Macaca mulatta: one gene and its partners. The protein of the gene in region 1 binds, or shares a complex with, the protein of each later gene. Links are inferred from orthologs where the notes say so. Each region holds a gene or a part of one and is shown in the gene's direction. Other genes may lie near its edges.

Region 1 (4,401 bases):
TCCTGGACCAGATGCCCTCCCTGACATTTCAGATTGACAGTGGACACCCAAATGAACAGTGACAGCCAAGAGCACAACCAGGGCCAGCAGAAATCAGGCTGCAGGCAGAAAAGACCCCTAGGCAAAGGCATTCTGAAGGGTTTAGGGTCAGGACACTTCAGTCTTCAGGACCCAACTTCAAATAAGTGTTTCAACAAACTCCCCTAGGCACTAGGCTATGGCCCTGCCTTCACCTGGATTCTCACAGTGAGGCCCCAGCAGGCCCCCAAACTTGACCCAAGGGGCCTTGTTCCAAAGCCCACGGGCTCCTCCCCCAGAAGGAGGAAAAAGGGGCGTGGCCTTTGGGGACCTGGGTAGGCCCAGGGCTCCCAGCCTGGGTATGTCAGGATTTGCCCCTCCTCCTTCCGGTCCCTCCTCCACTCCAGGGACTGCCAACTCCTTCCACACGCCCCTTCTGGGGCTCCCTTGCCACCCCACCCCACACCGCAGCCTCAAGATCCCTCTCTTTGGGGTCTTGAGGCCGGCCCAATATACCCACTATACCCAGCCCAGCTGCCCCAACTCCTCTGGGTCCCCTAACCCCACTCCACCCCCACCCCAAGAAAACCAAGCTCGGCTTGCCTCGTTCTCTCCACGCACCCACCCAAGCACCCCCTTGGCGCTGCGCCATTCCCCACATTCATTCTCTTCCTGTTCTCATGAACACAATCCCTGTCCCTCTTTCTGAAATACTTCCCCTATTGCCCTCACTTTCTCACAGAACGGCAAACAAAGACTCACATACCCAGAAATAGCCTTGCACAGAGCTGAAAGGCACAGGCCACGTCCTGCCACACACGCAGGCGCGCGCACGGAGGCTGTCGTGGAGGGAGGCACACAGACAGGGCGTCTGTCTGCACGCACATAAGCTGACACACCACAAAAGGGCGCGGACACACACGGCGTGTGAGACAAGGGCACACACAGCTGTGGACGCAGGGCCACGCCGCCGCCCGGGCACACCCACCGCCGCCGGCCCCGGGCAGGCGCGAGGCCTCGCGGGCCGGGCTCCCCCGGTTCCTGCCAGCGAATGTTTCCCTGCTCGGCCTGCCAGGTCTCTGGGGAAAGGGCCTCAGAAATGCTGCAGGAGCCCGCTGGGGGAAAAGTTGGAACTGACTGTTCCCTGCCTGGCGCGGCCGGCGAATTCCCTGACGGAGAAACTATTTGTGGCGAGAGCCGGTGGCCGGCGACCCCCCGCCGCCTCCCCTGGCGTCCCCTCCTCGCGCCGCCTCCCGCGGGCCTCGGCGGCTTCGGGCTGCAGCACTGCTGCCCAGCGCCCGCGGCCGGGCTGGTCGGCGCGCCTCGCCGCTTATCTGCGCTGTTTGGACAGCGGGCTTGGAAAGGCAGGCGGCCCCGTCCCCGCCGAGTCAACAGGCAGACCCCGGGCCGCCGGACTATTTCTGTCTTATCAGTGCAGGAATGCGGCAGCCGCGGCCGCGGCGGCGGCGGCGGGCGGGCGGCGGCGGCGTGGGCCGTGGGCCGTCAGGGCAGCCCTGAAGGGGCCCCCTCCCCACTCCGCTCGAGTAGAAGTGTGAGAGAGCCCAGCAGGACTCAGAGGGGAGAGTTGGAGGAAAAAAAAAGGCAGAAAAGGGAAAGAAAGAGGAAGAGAGAGAGAGAGTGAGAGGAGCCGCTGAGCCCACCCCGATGGCCGCGGACGAAGTTGCCGGAGGGGCGCGCAAAGCCACGAAAAGCAAACTTTTTGAGTTTCTGGTCCATGGGGTGGTGAGTGGGGGAAAGTTAGAGGGGGAGGGCGAGCGAGCTGGCTCGGGCTGAATGGAGGGCTGATCGGGAGGGGCCGGGAGGGCACTCCCGCTCTCCCACCCCTCTAGTGGGGGGCGCCATGGCCCACGGCCCGGCTCCGGGACTGTGCTGGCGCCCTGGCACCCGAACACGTCGCCAGGCGGCCGGCCGGGTCTGGTGCGAGGCGGGGAAGGGAGGCGTTTGCATGGCTCTTGTCAGGGGCGGGGGTGAGACTTGGGGACTCTCCCCCCCAAGTGGGGAGTCCTCGCTGTAGCCGACAGGTTGACTTTCGTTCTTTTCCTTGTGGGCCCAGGTGTTGCCCCTGCCCTGGGGGTGGGGGTGGGGGATGGGGACATGGCAGAGGCTGGGCTGGGCTGTCTGTTCATCCGTTGGGACAGTGTCACTGCTTGTGTCTCCGGAGCAAGGAGCAGGTGACCCTGGAGGCACTGTAGTGGGAAGCTCGCAGGCTGAGCCACCTCTGCATCTCAGCGGGAGGGCTCTGGAGCTTCTGCCTCAGGGTCGGGGAGAGGCCCGCTCTAGGGACTTAGCCCAAGTTAGGGGTTCTGAGGGTCCCCTTGGCGGACTCAGCCACCAGAAGCTGATGTCCTTAACTCCTCGAAGGTGTGAAGGAAGGGCTGGAGTTGGGGATGTGAGGCCTAGAGACCGAAGGGACAGGGGAGCACTGTCCTGCCACAGGCAGGCTGCAAAGGCACGTGGGAGCCCGGGAGGCTGGAGCTGAGTCAGTAGGGCCTGGCTGGGAGGGGTGTGGAGGGGTGTGGAATGGGAGAGGCAGGGGCTGTGACTCTTGAGATGGGTGAGGGGGTGGAGGCCCTGTGTAGAAGAAGCTGTCAGGTTTACTATGGCCAAATTTGGTTGTGACCCCAAGGAAGGCACCTTCTCAGTAAGACCAGAGTCCCTAGGATTTTGGCCTTTCATGGGGGTGGGGCTGGAGGTGGGCACAGCTCTCTGGGGGCTCTGGAAGCCTCCCTCTCAGGGCCTCTTCAGCAGAGGAGCCAGTATCCCTGGCCTTGATAACTGGGGAGAGCAGCTGACAGGAAGAGGGGGCCTCCCTGGAGTGGCCCATCCTCCAACCCCAGGGACCCCTGGGGGTAACTTCCCAAAGTGTCCATGTCAGCTAGCTGAGTTACCAATCCTAACCTGGCTGCTGGTGGGAGCCCCTTTAAAAAGGCCCATCTAGTGGGGAGAGGCTGCACACGTGGACTTTTTTTTTATCTGGCCAACTTAGAGCTTCAGTTACTGAGTGACTGTGAGCCCCAGTGCCCCATCTAGCTGGTGGCCAGGCCTGGGTTCCATTCTGGGCCGCTACCCTGGAGGCGTGAGTGACAGGGTCAGGTGGGGTGAGGGAAGCAGACACATGGACAGGCAGGTTTCACTGCAGGAGAGATAGGCAGAGACAGCTGCTGACCGAGGGTGGGAGGACATTAGGGTTAGACACAGAGCCTGGAGGGCCAGGAGGAGGTAGCAGTTGGAAGGAAAACAGCAAGCCCAAGGGGCCCCTCCTCATGCCTGGGGATGAGGTGGGTGATGTGTCCATGTTAACAGGGCCAGGGTCTGCATCCCCTGCCCTCTGATCGTCTTCCTGCTCTCGTGGTCCCAGTCCCCATCCCACCCCACTCATTCTGTTTCACAGCCCCTGAAACTCTCTCTGGCCCTCCCCATCTCCCTTCTGGAGTCTGGACAAGTGGGGTTTGGAACACTTCGCTCGATGCATTTGCATCTCATTTACACCCCATCTGACCACCCAGGGGTAGTGGCAAGGGAGGAGGAGCCGCCTCCTCTCAGTCTCCACAGCCCCCTGAACCCTGACTGCTGACCTTGCTGGGGTGGGGATGGGAAGAGGAGGAGGTGGCTGCTGACCTGGGCAGACAGGAAGGGAAATGTGAGTGGAAGTGTCACTGCCCTGACCCACCTCAGGCCCCCTGGGCAGCCCACCTCCAACGCAGCTCCCCTCCTCCCAATCAGATAATCCTGGCAGGGTCTGGGGTGCCCCCAAAGGCTGCCCTTGCCTGCCCTGCCTCCAGCCCTCACCCTGGGAGCAAATTATGAGGGCAGCTTAGACCCTGGGTCAGCGAAGACCCTGGGTGTGGGGACTTGGAGTCAGTCGAGGGGAGTGGAGTTTGGGACCGAAGGGTCAAAGCAGGGAGCAGAGTGGCTGAGATGAGGAGCTAGTGAGTGCCAGGCAGAACCGCCCAAGAAGTGAAGCCTGAGAAGGAGGAGCAGGAGGAGGAGCAGAAGTCGGAGCAGGGAGCCGGGTACCTGACTTCAACCAAGCTGCAGAGAGCAAAGCCCTGGGCCCCCAGGAGGCAGCCCTTCAGGGGCTGGCCGGGCCTGGATGAGCTGTGTGACCTTGGCGAGGTCGCTTTTCTCCTTGAGCCACAGTGGCCCCATCCGTCAAGTGGGGATGAAAGGACCTGCTCAGACTGTCTTGTAGAGGAGCATGTGGATGTGAACATCTTTGAAAGGTTGAAAGAAGCCATTAATATTCATTTTTGCGGTACCTTCCGCAGCCCCGAGGCTCGCAATGCCCTGTGCGGTGCCTGGCTTCAGTTAGCTTCCTACAGCCAGACGCCAAGCCCCTCCGCCAGAGCCGCGCGTATTCCG
Region 2 (3,640 bases), on another chromosome or scaffold:
GAGGGCATAGTGATACCTGTTAGGTGTGTGTGGGTATATGGAGTTTCTGTCTGCATCCCTTCCCCTGGGAGTTGGGATGGATCAGTATCTGCCTGTATTTTTTTTTTTTTTTTTTGGAGATGGAGTCCGGCTCTGTTGCCCAGGCTGGAAGTACAGTGGCACGATCTCAACTCACTGCAACCTCCGCCTAGTGGGTTCAAGTGATTCTCCTGTCTCAACCTCCCACCTAGCGCACATCGACACGCCCGGCTAATTTTTGTGTATTTTTAGTAGAGACGGGGTTTCACCGTGTTGGCCAGGCTGGTCTCGAACTCCTGACCTCAGGTGATCCACCCGACTCGGCCTCCCAGAGTGCTGGGATTATAGGCTTGAGCCACCGTGCCCGGCCATCTGCCTGTATTTTCTTCTGTGGGTGCCTGAGGGTGTCCGCCTCTGTATCTCCCCAAGGGCGTCTGGATGTCTCAGTGTCTGGTTGGAGCTCTTTCCTCTCTTAGGTGTATCTTCCCGGGTGTCTCCAAGTGTCTTAGAAGGCTTGTGTCTTGTGTATGTCTGGTTTGTCAGGGCGTCCAGCTCCTTCCCAGTGTGTCTGGGTGTGTTACGCGGTGCGGCCGTCTCTTTCTGTGGGTGTGTAGGTGCCTCGGAGTGTCTGGGAGAATCTCTTCCTGATGGTGTCTGGTGTATCAGGTGTATTTCTGCACGTGTGTGTCAGTCCATCAGAGGATCTGGACTTAACCTTGAATGTGTTTAGGAGTATCAGGGTCATTGGGGTCAGTTTCTCTTCCTGAGTCCGAAGGTCTGTGTGTACCCAGGAGTGTGGCAGTGACCACCTGGCTGTGTCTCTGTCTGTCTGTGTCTCCTATGTGTGTGTGTGTGTATCTAGCTGAGCAATTCTCCCTGGGTATGTTGGTATCTCCCCACTATGTGTCTAGGCATCTCATCTGGCTGTCTTCCCCAGGGGGGCCTAGGTATCTGGAGGGCTAATTCTTTCTTCTTTCTTTCTTTCTTTCTTTCTTTCTTTCTTTCTTTCTTTCTTTCTTTCTTTCTTTCTTTCTTTCTTTCTTTCTTTCTTTTTCTTTCTTTCTTTCTCTTTCTTTCTTTCTTTCTTTCTTTCTTTCTTTCTTTCTTTCTTTCTTTCTTTCTTTTTCTTTCTTTCTTTTTCTCTCCCTCTCTCTTTCTCTCCCTCCCTCCCTCTCTCTTCTCTTTCTTTCTTTCTTTCTTTTCTTTTTTCTTTCTTTCCCTTCCTTCCTTCCTTCCTTCCTTCCTTCCTTCCTTCCTTCCTTCCTTCCTTCCTTCCTTCCTTCCTTCCTTCCTTCCTTCCTTCCTTCTTCCCTCCCTCCCTCCCTCCCTTCCTTTTCTTTCTTTCTTTTCCTTGTTTCTTTCTCTTTCTTTTCTTCCATCCAGTTTGGAGTGCAGTGGCACGATCTCAGCTCACTGCAACCTCTGTCTCCCGAGTTCAGGTGATTCTCTTTCTCAGCCTCCTGAGTAGCTGGGATTACAGGCGTGAGCAATTACATCCAGTCAATTTTTGTATTTTGTTTTTAAGTAGAGATGAGGTTTTACCATGTTGGCCAGGCTGGTCTCGAACTCCTGACCTGAAGTGATCCACCCACCTCGGCCTCCTAAAGTGCTGGGATTACAGGTGTGAGGCACCGCACCTGACCAGCTGATTGTCTCTGCGCATCTCTGAGAGTACCCATGGGTCCGGCTATGTCTCCTTCATGTGTCTGGCTGTCTCCAAGGATCTGGCTATACCTCTCTGAGTCTCTAGGCTGTATCTGAGAGTGTGGCTTGGCCAGGCATGGTGGCTTGTGCCTGTAATTCCAGCACTTTGGGAGGCTGAGGCAGAGGATCACTTGAACTCAGGAGTTTGAGACCAGCCTGACTAACATGGTGAAACCCCGTCTCTACCAAAAATACAAAAATTAGCCGGTGTGGTGGCGGGCCAACCACTCTGCCTGTAGTCCTAGTTACCCAGGAGGCTGATGGGAGGATCACTTGAGCCTGGGAGTCGCAGTGAGCTGAGATTGTGCCACTGCACTCCAACCTGGGTGACGGAGCGAGACCCTGTCTCAAAAAAAAAAAAAAAAAAAGAAAGAAAGAAAAAGAAAAAGGAGAGCTTGGTTGGGCCTCTTCCTTTCTGCGTGTGTCTCAGAAAATCTGTCTGGATGTCCCCTATGGGTGTCCATGTGTCTCCTCTGTGAGTGTGTGTATCTGTCCGTATTTGTCTGGGTGTGTTTAAAAGTCGCTGTGTCGGCCGGGTGCGGTGGCTCAAGCCTGTAATCCCAGCACTTTGGGAGGCCAAGACGGGCGGATCACGAGGTCAGGAGATCGAGACAATCCTGGCTAACACGGTGAAACCCCGTCTCTACTAAAAAAAAATACAAAAAACTAGCCGGGCGAGGTGGTGGGCGCCTGTAGTCCCAGCTACTCGGGAGGGAGGCTGAGGCAGGAGAATGGCATAAACCCGGGAGGCGGAGCTTGCAGTGAGCTGAGATCCGGCCACTGCACTCCAGCCTGGGCAACAGAGCGAGACTCCGTCTCAAAAAAAAAAAAAAAAAAAGAGTCGCTGTGTCTTCCCTGAGTAGGTCTGGGTGTGCCTGATGGCCTGTGTCTTTTTCTGAGGCTTTCCGGTATATCCAAAGTTCTGACTGTGTCTCCTGCCGTGCGTCCCAGGGCATCTGAGGGTGTGGCTGGGTCTCCCCGGGGTCTGGGCCTCCCTTCTAGGGCGTGTAGTTAAATCCTCGCCTCGGCTGCTGGCCGAGTGTGGGAAAGCTTCTTCCCTCCCGCAAAGAGCATGGTCCCCCCACCTGCATAGTTTGAGGAGTCCTCTAGGGTCAACTTCCCCATCTGACCCTGCCATGGCCCTGTCCCCAGACTGTGAAGCACCCCTGAAGAAGGAGGGTGGCCTCCCTGAAGGGCCCGTCCTCGAGGCTCTGCTGTGTGCAGAGACGGGGGAGAAGAAGATTGAGCTGAAGGAGGAGGAGACCATTATGGACTGTCAGGTAGGCCCACCCCTGGGGGACCCCCCGACATGGCTTCCTCTCACCCCTGCCGGCCGCCAGCCCGGGCCCTCATGTTCCTGCTCTGAAACCCCCCGGTTTCCTCCAGCCCTCGGGCATCCCAGTCTCCATCCTCCCAGACTTCATCTCTGTTTGGAAGAACTCCTGACTTACGCTCTCATCCCCAATCTCCACCTCTGCCCAGAGCCCCTCAAAAGCAGGTCAGTGGCTCCTACTTTCTTGATCCGTCTCCTTTCTCTATTGCCCAGAAACAGCAGTTGCTGGAGTTTCCGCATGATCTCGAGGTGGAAGACTTGGAGGATGACATTCCCAGGAGGAAGAACAGGGCCAAAGGAAAGGTATCACCCCAAGGTTCTCCTCTCCCCTGCTCCCCTTAATGACAGGTCTCATTCGTGGAGCAGGCGCAGTGGTCGGCCCCTGCCACAGTCTGACCTCATTGAATCCCAGAACAGCCTGCAGGGGTGGGGGATTTAATACCCATTTTACAGATGAGGAAACTGAGGCTCATCTGTATTAAGCCATTTGCAAAGCAGAGATTATGCAGTGGGTTAGAGCTACCTTCATCCCCGTGCCGCAGAGGAAGAAGCTAAAACTTGGAGAGGTTTGAAGCCCCACAGCTA
Region 3 (3,640 bases), about 140 Mb from region 1:
ACGGTGAAACCCCGTCTCTACTAAAAAAAATACAAAAAACTAGCCGGGCGAGGTGGCGGGCGCCTGTAGTCCCAGCTACTCGGGAGGCTGAGGCAGGAGAATGGCGTGAACCCAGGAGGCGGAGCTTGCAGTGAGCTGAGATCCGGCCACTGCACTCCAGCCTGGGCGACAGAGCGAGACTCCGTCTCAAAAAAAAACAAAAACAAAACAAACAAAAAAAAAGAAGTAACTGGGGTCTCAGAGCCTTTCTCCAGGAGATGAGTCATCACCAGGAGGAGAGATTTGCACACTGGGGATGAGCTGGACCCTGGCAGAGCAGAGAGTGACCAGACCAGATCTGGGCCCAGGCCCCTCATTTGCCACTGCTGTCTCTTTGACTTACCCATCCGATGCCAGCTTTGCAAACGGGCGGTCCACGGGCCTTGTGCTGGACAGTGGGGCCACCCACACCACGGCCATTCCAGTACATGACGGCTACGTCCTGCAGCAAGGTGGGGCTTCGGCAAGGGGCAGGGGCGCACCAGGAGGACGAGATCCTGACACTGCCTTCCTTCCAGGTATCGTCAAGTCCCCTCTGGCAGGGGACTTCATCTCCATGCAGTGCCGGGAGCTGTTCCAGGAGATGGCCATTGACATCATCCCACCTTACATGATCGCAGCCAAGGTGGGGCCTCTGGGGACACAGAGCTGCCACTAGAGTCCTGGCCACTCGCCCCATGGCCGTCAACCCGCTGACACACGAGATATCAGAGCAGAGAGCAGCAGGCTCCCCAGTGGGTCCTGGCTCCAGTTTCTCCTTATATAAGTGAGGCATCTGAAATCCAGACAGGCTGAGGGATACGCTGAGGTCATGGAATCAGCTAGCAGACAGCAGGATGTGTGAGGGCCAGTGTGGTGGGTTCTAGGGTTCAATATAAACCCAGGTTCAAGTTCTGCCTCTGCCGTGCAAGAGCTGTGGGACCGGCCGGGCATGGTGGCTCATGCCTGTAATCCCAGCACTTCGGGAGGCCGAGGCAGGCAGATCACTTTGAACTCACTTCGAGACCAGCCTGGGCAACATGGTGAAACCACATCTCTACTAAAACTACAAAAACTAGCCAAGTATGGTGGCACATGCCTGTAGTCCCAGCTACTCAGGAGGCTGAGACTGAAGAATCACCTGAACCCTGGAAGCAGAGGTTGCAGTGAGCCGAGATCGCGCCACTGTACTCCAGCCTGGGCGACAGAGTGAGACTCTGAAAAAAAAAAAAAAAAGAGCTGTGTGACCAATAGCATGATATCAAAGCTCCCTGGGCCTCAGTTTCCTCTTCTGTAAAGTGGAACGGTAATAGGCAGTAGCCAGGGTGCTGTATGAAGTGACACTGTGTGCTTAGCTCCGTCCTGTGCCCTCACGTGGATCGCGGCCCCCTAGGAGGCCATTCTCTGGAGATTCTGTCACTGCTGTATTCCTGGTGTTCTCCAGGTCAGCTGTATCCACTGCATGAAGGGCACACACGGAGAGAGAGGCATGCCCCATTCTCTCTCCTGTCCATCAGGAAAGGGTGAGAAACCCTCTTGCAGGCAGCACAGCAGAGCCTCCAGTGCCAGTTAGCTGCAGAGCTGGGAACAGTGCCAGGAAGGTGGGGTAGGGGTCAGGGTGGGCTAAGAAAGGGTGTTCCTACGCTTTGTCCCCACAGGAGCCTGTCCGGGAGGGCGCCCCCCCAAACTGGAAGAAGAAGGAGAAGCTCCCCCAGGTCTCCAAGTCCTGGCATAACTACATGTGTAATGTGAGCCTCTGGAGAGGGTCCCCTGAAGCCCCCTCCCCTGCCGTGAATGGGGGCGAGGCAGGGGCCTTGCATGGGAGGTGGAGCAGGGAGGGGGAGCTGGGCGGGGGGTGTTGCTCAGGAGGAACCCAGGCCCTCATCACCCTCACTGGGATTTCAGGAGGTGATCCAGGACTTCCAGGCCTCCGTGCTGCAGGTCTCAGACTCCCCCTACGATGAACAGTGAGTGTGGCTCAGGGCTGGGGGGTGGGAGAAAGGGCAGAACTGGGACTCCTGGGGTGGGCTGGGGGACTCTGGTGCTGTCCACCCACTGATCCCTCTTGAGCACCCCAGGCAGAGTCCTGCTCCCTTCTGGGCAGGGTGGCTGCACAAATGCCCACAGTGCACTACGAGATGCCCAATGGCTACAACACAGACTATGGCGCCGAGCGACTCCGCATCCCCGAGGGCCTCTTTGATCCCTCGAACGTCAAGGTTTGGCTGTGTGGCAAGGACTGGGGTGGGTGCTGGCTGCAGTCCTTGGATCCTGGGGCGTGGGGGAGGCTGGGAAGGATTGCAGGGACTGGGGGAAGGGGGAGAGGGCCCACAGCCCCAGTCACCTCTCTCTGCAGGGCCTGTCGGGGAATACCATGTTGGGTGTGGGCCACGTGGTGACCACCAGCATCGGCATGTGTGACATTGACATTCGCCCGGTGAGGCCAGGCCGGAGCTGAGGCTGGGCAAAGGGGCCCAGGGGAAGTGGGAAGGCAGGGTTGGGGGGCTGTCCCCCGTGGCTCACTCCTTCTTCCTGCTCTCAGGGCCTGTATGGGAGTGTCATTGTCACCGGCGGGAACACACTGCTGCAGGGCTTCACTGACAGGCTCAATCGAGAGCTTTCCCAGAAGACCCCACCGGTAGGAGCCCACCCCTGACCCAGTGCCCCAGAAGCCCATCCTGGCTCAGCTGTCCAGGACTGAGTCCCCCATTCTTCCCATGTCCTTCCTTCTGTTCTGTCCACCAGAGCAGAACCCCTGCCCCTGAGGCTTCCCAAGTCTTCCCCCTGCCCCCCAAGCCCTGTCCCTTCCCAGAACCTAGGTGTCTGCTTCCCCCAGCCCCTTTTTACCCCCAGAGCATGCGACTGAAACTCATTGCCAGCAACAGCACCATGGAGCGCAAGTTCAGCCCCTGGATTGGGGGTTCCATCCTGGCCTCACTGGTGAGAGGAAGGGGACCTGGCCTAGCACTGACTGTGGGGGACAGGGGAGACCCAGACAGCGCCCGCCACTTTGCCTGCCTCTTCATTCATTCATTCATTCATTCATTCAACGAACATTTATTTTTGAGAAATGTCGGTCAATGAATGTTCCCAGAAAGGTGAACAGGACACAAATTGGGGGCAGGGGCCCAGTACAGTGACCCGCACCTGTCATCCCAGCACTTTGGGAGGCTGAAGTGGGAGGATGGCTTGAGGCTAGGAGTTCAAGACCCAGCAGGGGAACATAGCAAGACCCATCTCTACTTTTACAAATTGGGGAGAAGAGGCCGCGCACGGTGGCTCATGCCTGTAAACCCTGCACTTTGGGAGGCCGAGGCGGGCGAATCACTTGAGGTCAGGAGTTCGAGACCAGCCTGGCCAATACGATGAAACCTTGTCTTTACTAAAAATACAAAAAATAGCCAGGCGTGGTGGTGTATGCCTGTAATCCCAGCTATTCAGGAGGCTGAGGCAGGAGAATCTCTTGAACCCAGGAGATGGAGATTGCAGTAAGCTGAAATCGTGCCACTGCACTCCAGCCTGGGTGACACAGTGAGACTCTCTCTCAAAAAAAAAAAAAAAAAAAAAAAGGAGTAGAGGGACAGGTAGTTGGAGAGATTGGTCAGGATGAGATTTTGGTGAG

The links.
Region 2: SMARCD3 (region 1) and DPF1 share a complex: the UniProt entries of both Homo sapiens proteins name them as parts of the neuron-specific chromatin remodeling complex. The link is inferred for Macaca mulatta from reciprocal best matches to the Homo sapiens genes SMARCD3 and DPF1.
Region 3: SMARCD3 (region 1) and ACTL6B share a complex: the UniProt entries of both Homo sapiens proteins name them as parts of the BAF complex. The link is inferred for Macaca mulatta from reciprocal best matches to the Homo sapiens genes SMARCD3 and ACTL6B.

What each region holds. Positions count from the first base shown.
Region 1 is NC_133408.1:190,678,908-190,683,308, reverse strand, and holds the start of SMARCD3 (SWI/SNF-related matrix-associated actin-dependent regulator of chromatin subfamily D member 3), read left to right. Parts: upstream 1-1,597; 5' UTR 1,598-1,683; coding exon 1,684-1,761; intron 1,762-4,401. UniProt on the Homo sapiens protein: Involved in transcriptional activation and repression of select genes by chromatin remodeling (alteration of DNA-nucleosome topology).
Region 2 is NC_133424.1:49,293,338-49,296,977, reverse strand, and holds part of DPF1 (zinc finger protein neuro-d4), read left to right. Parts: intron 1-2,874; coding exon 2,875-3,002; intron 3,003-3,268; coding exon 3,269-3,358; intron 3,359-3,640. UniProt on the Homo sapiens protein: May have an important role in developing neurons by participating in regulation of cell survival, possibly as a neurospecific transcription factor. Belongs to the neuron-specific chromatin remodeling complex (nBAF complex).
Region 3 is NC_133408.1:47,852,129-47,855,768, reverse strand, and holds part of ACTL6B (actin-like protein 6B), read left to right. Parts: intron 1-396; coding exon 397-491; intron 492-557; coding exon 558-664; intron 665-1,676; coding exon 1,677-1,766; intron 1,767-1,923; coding exon 1,924-1,985; intron 1,986-2,122; coding exon 2,123-2,237; intron 2,238-2,374; coding exon 2,375-2,455; intron 2,456-2,560; coding exon 2,561-2,656; intron 2,657-2,854; exon of another isoform or gene 2,855-2,871; coding exon 2,872-2,958; intron 2,959-3,640. UniProt on the Homo sapiens protein: Involved in transcriptional activation and repression of select genes by chromatin remodeling (alteration of DNA-nucleosome topology).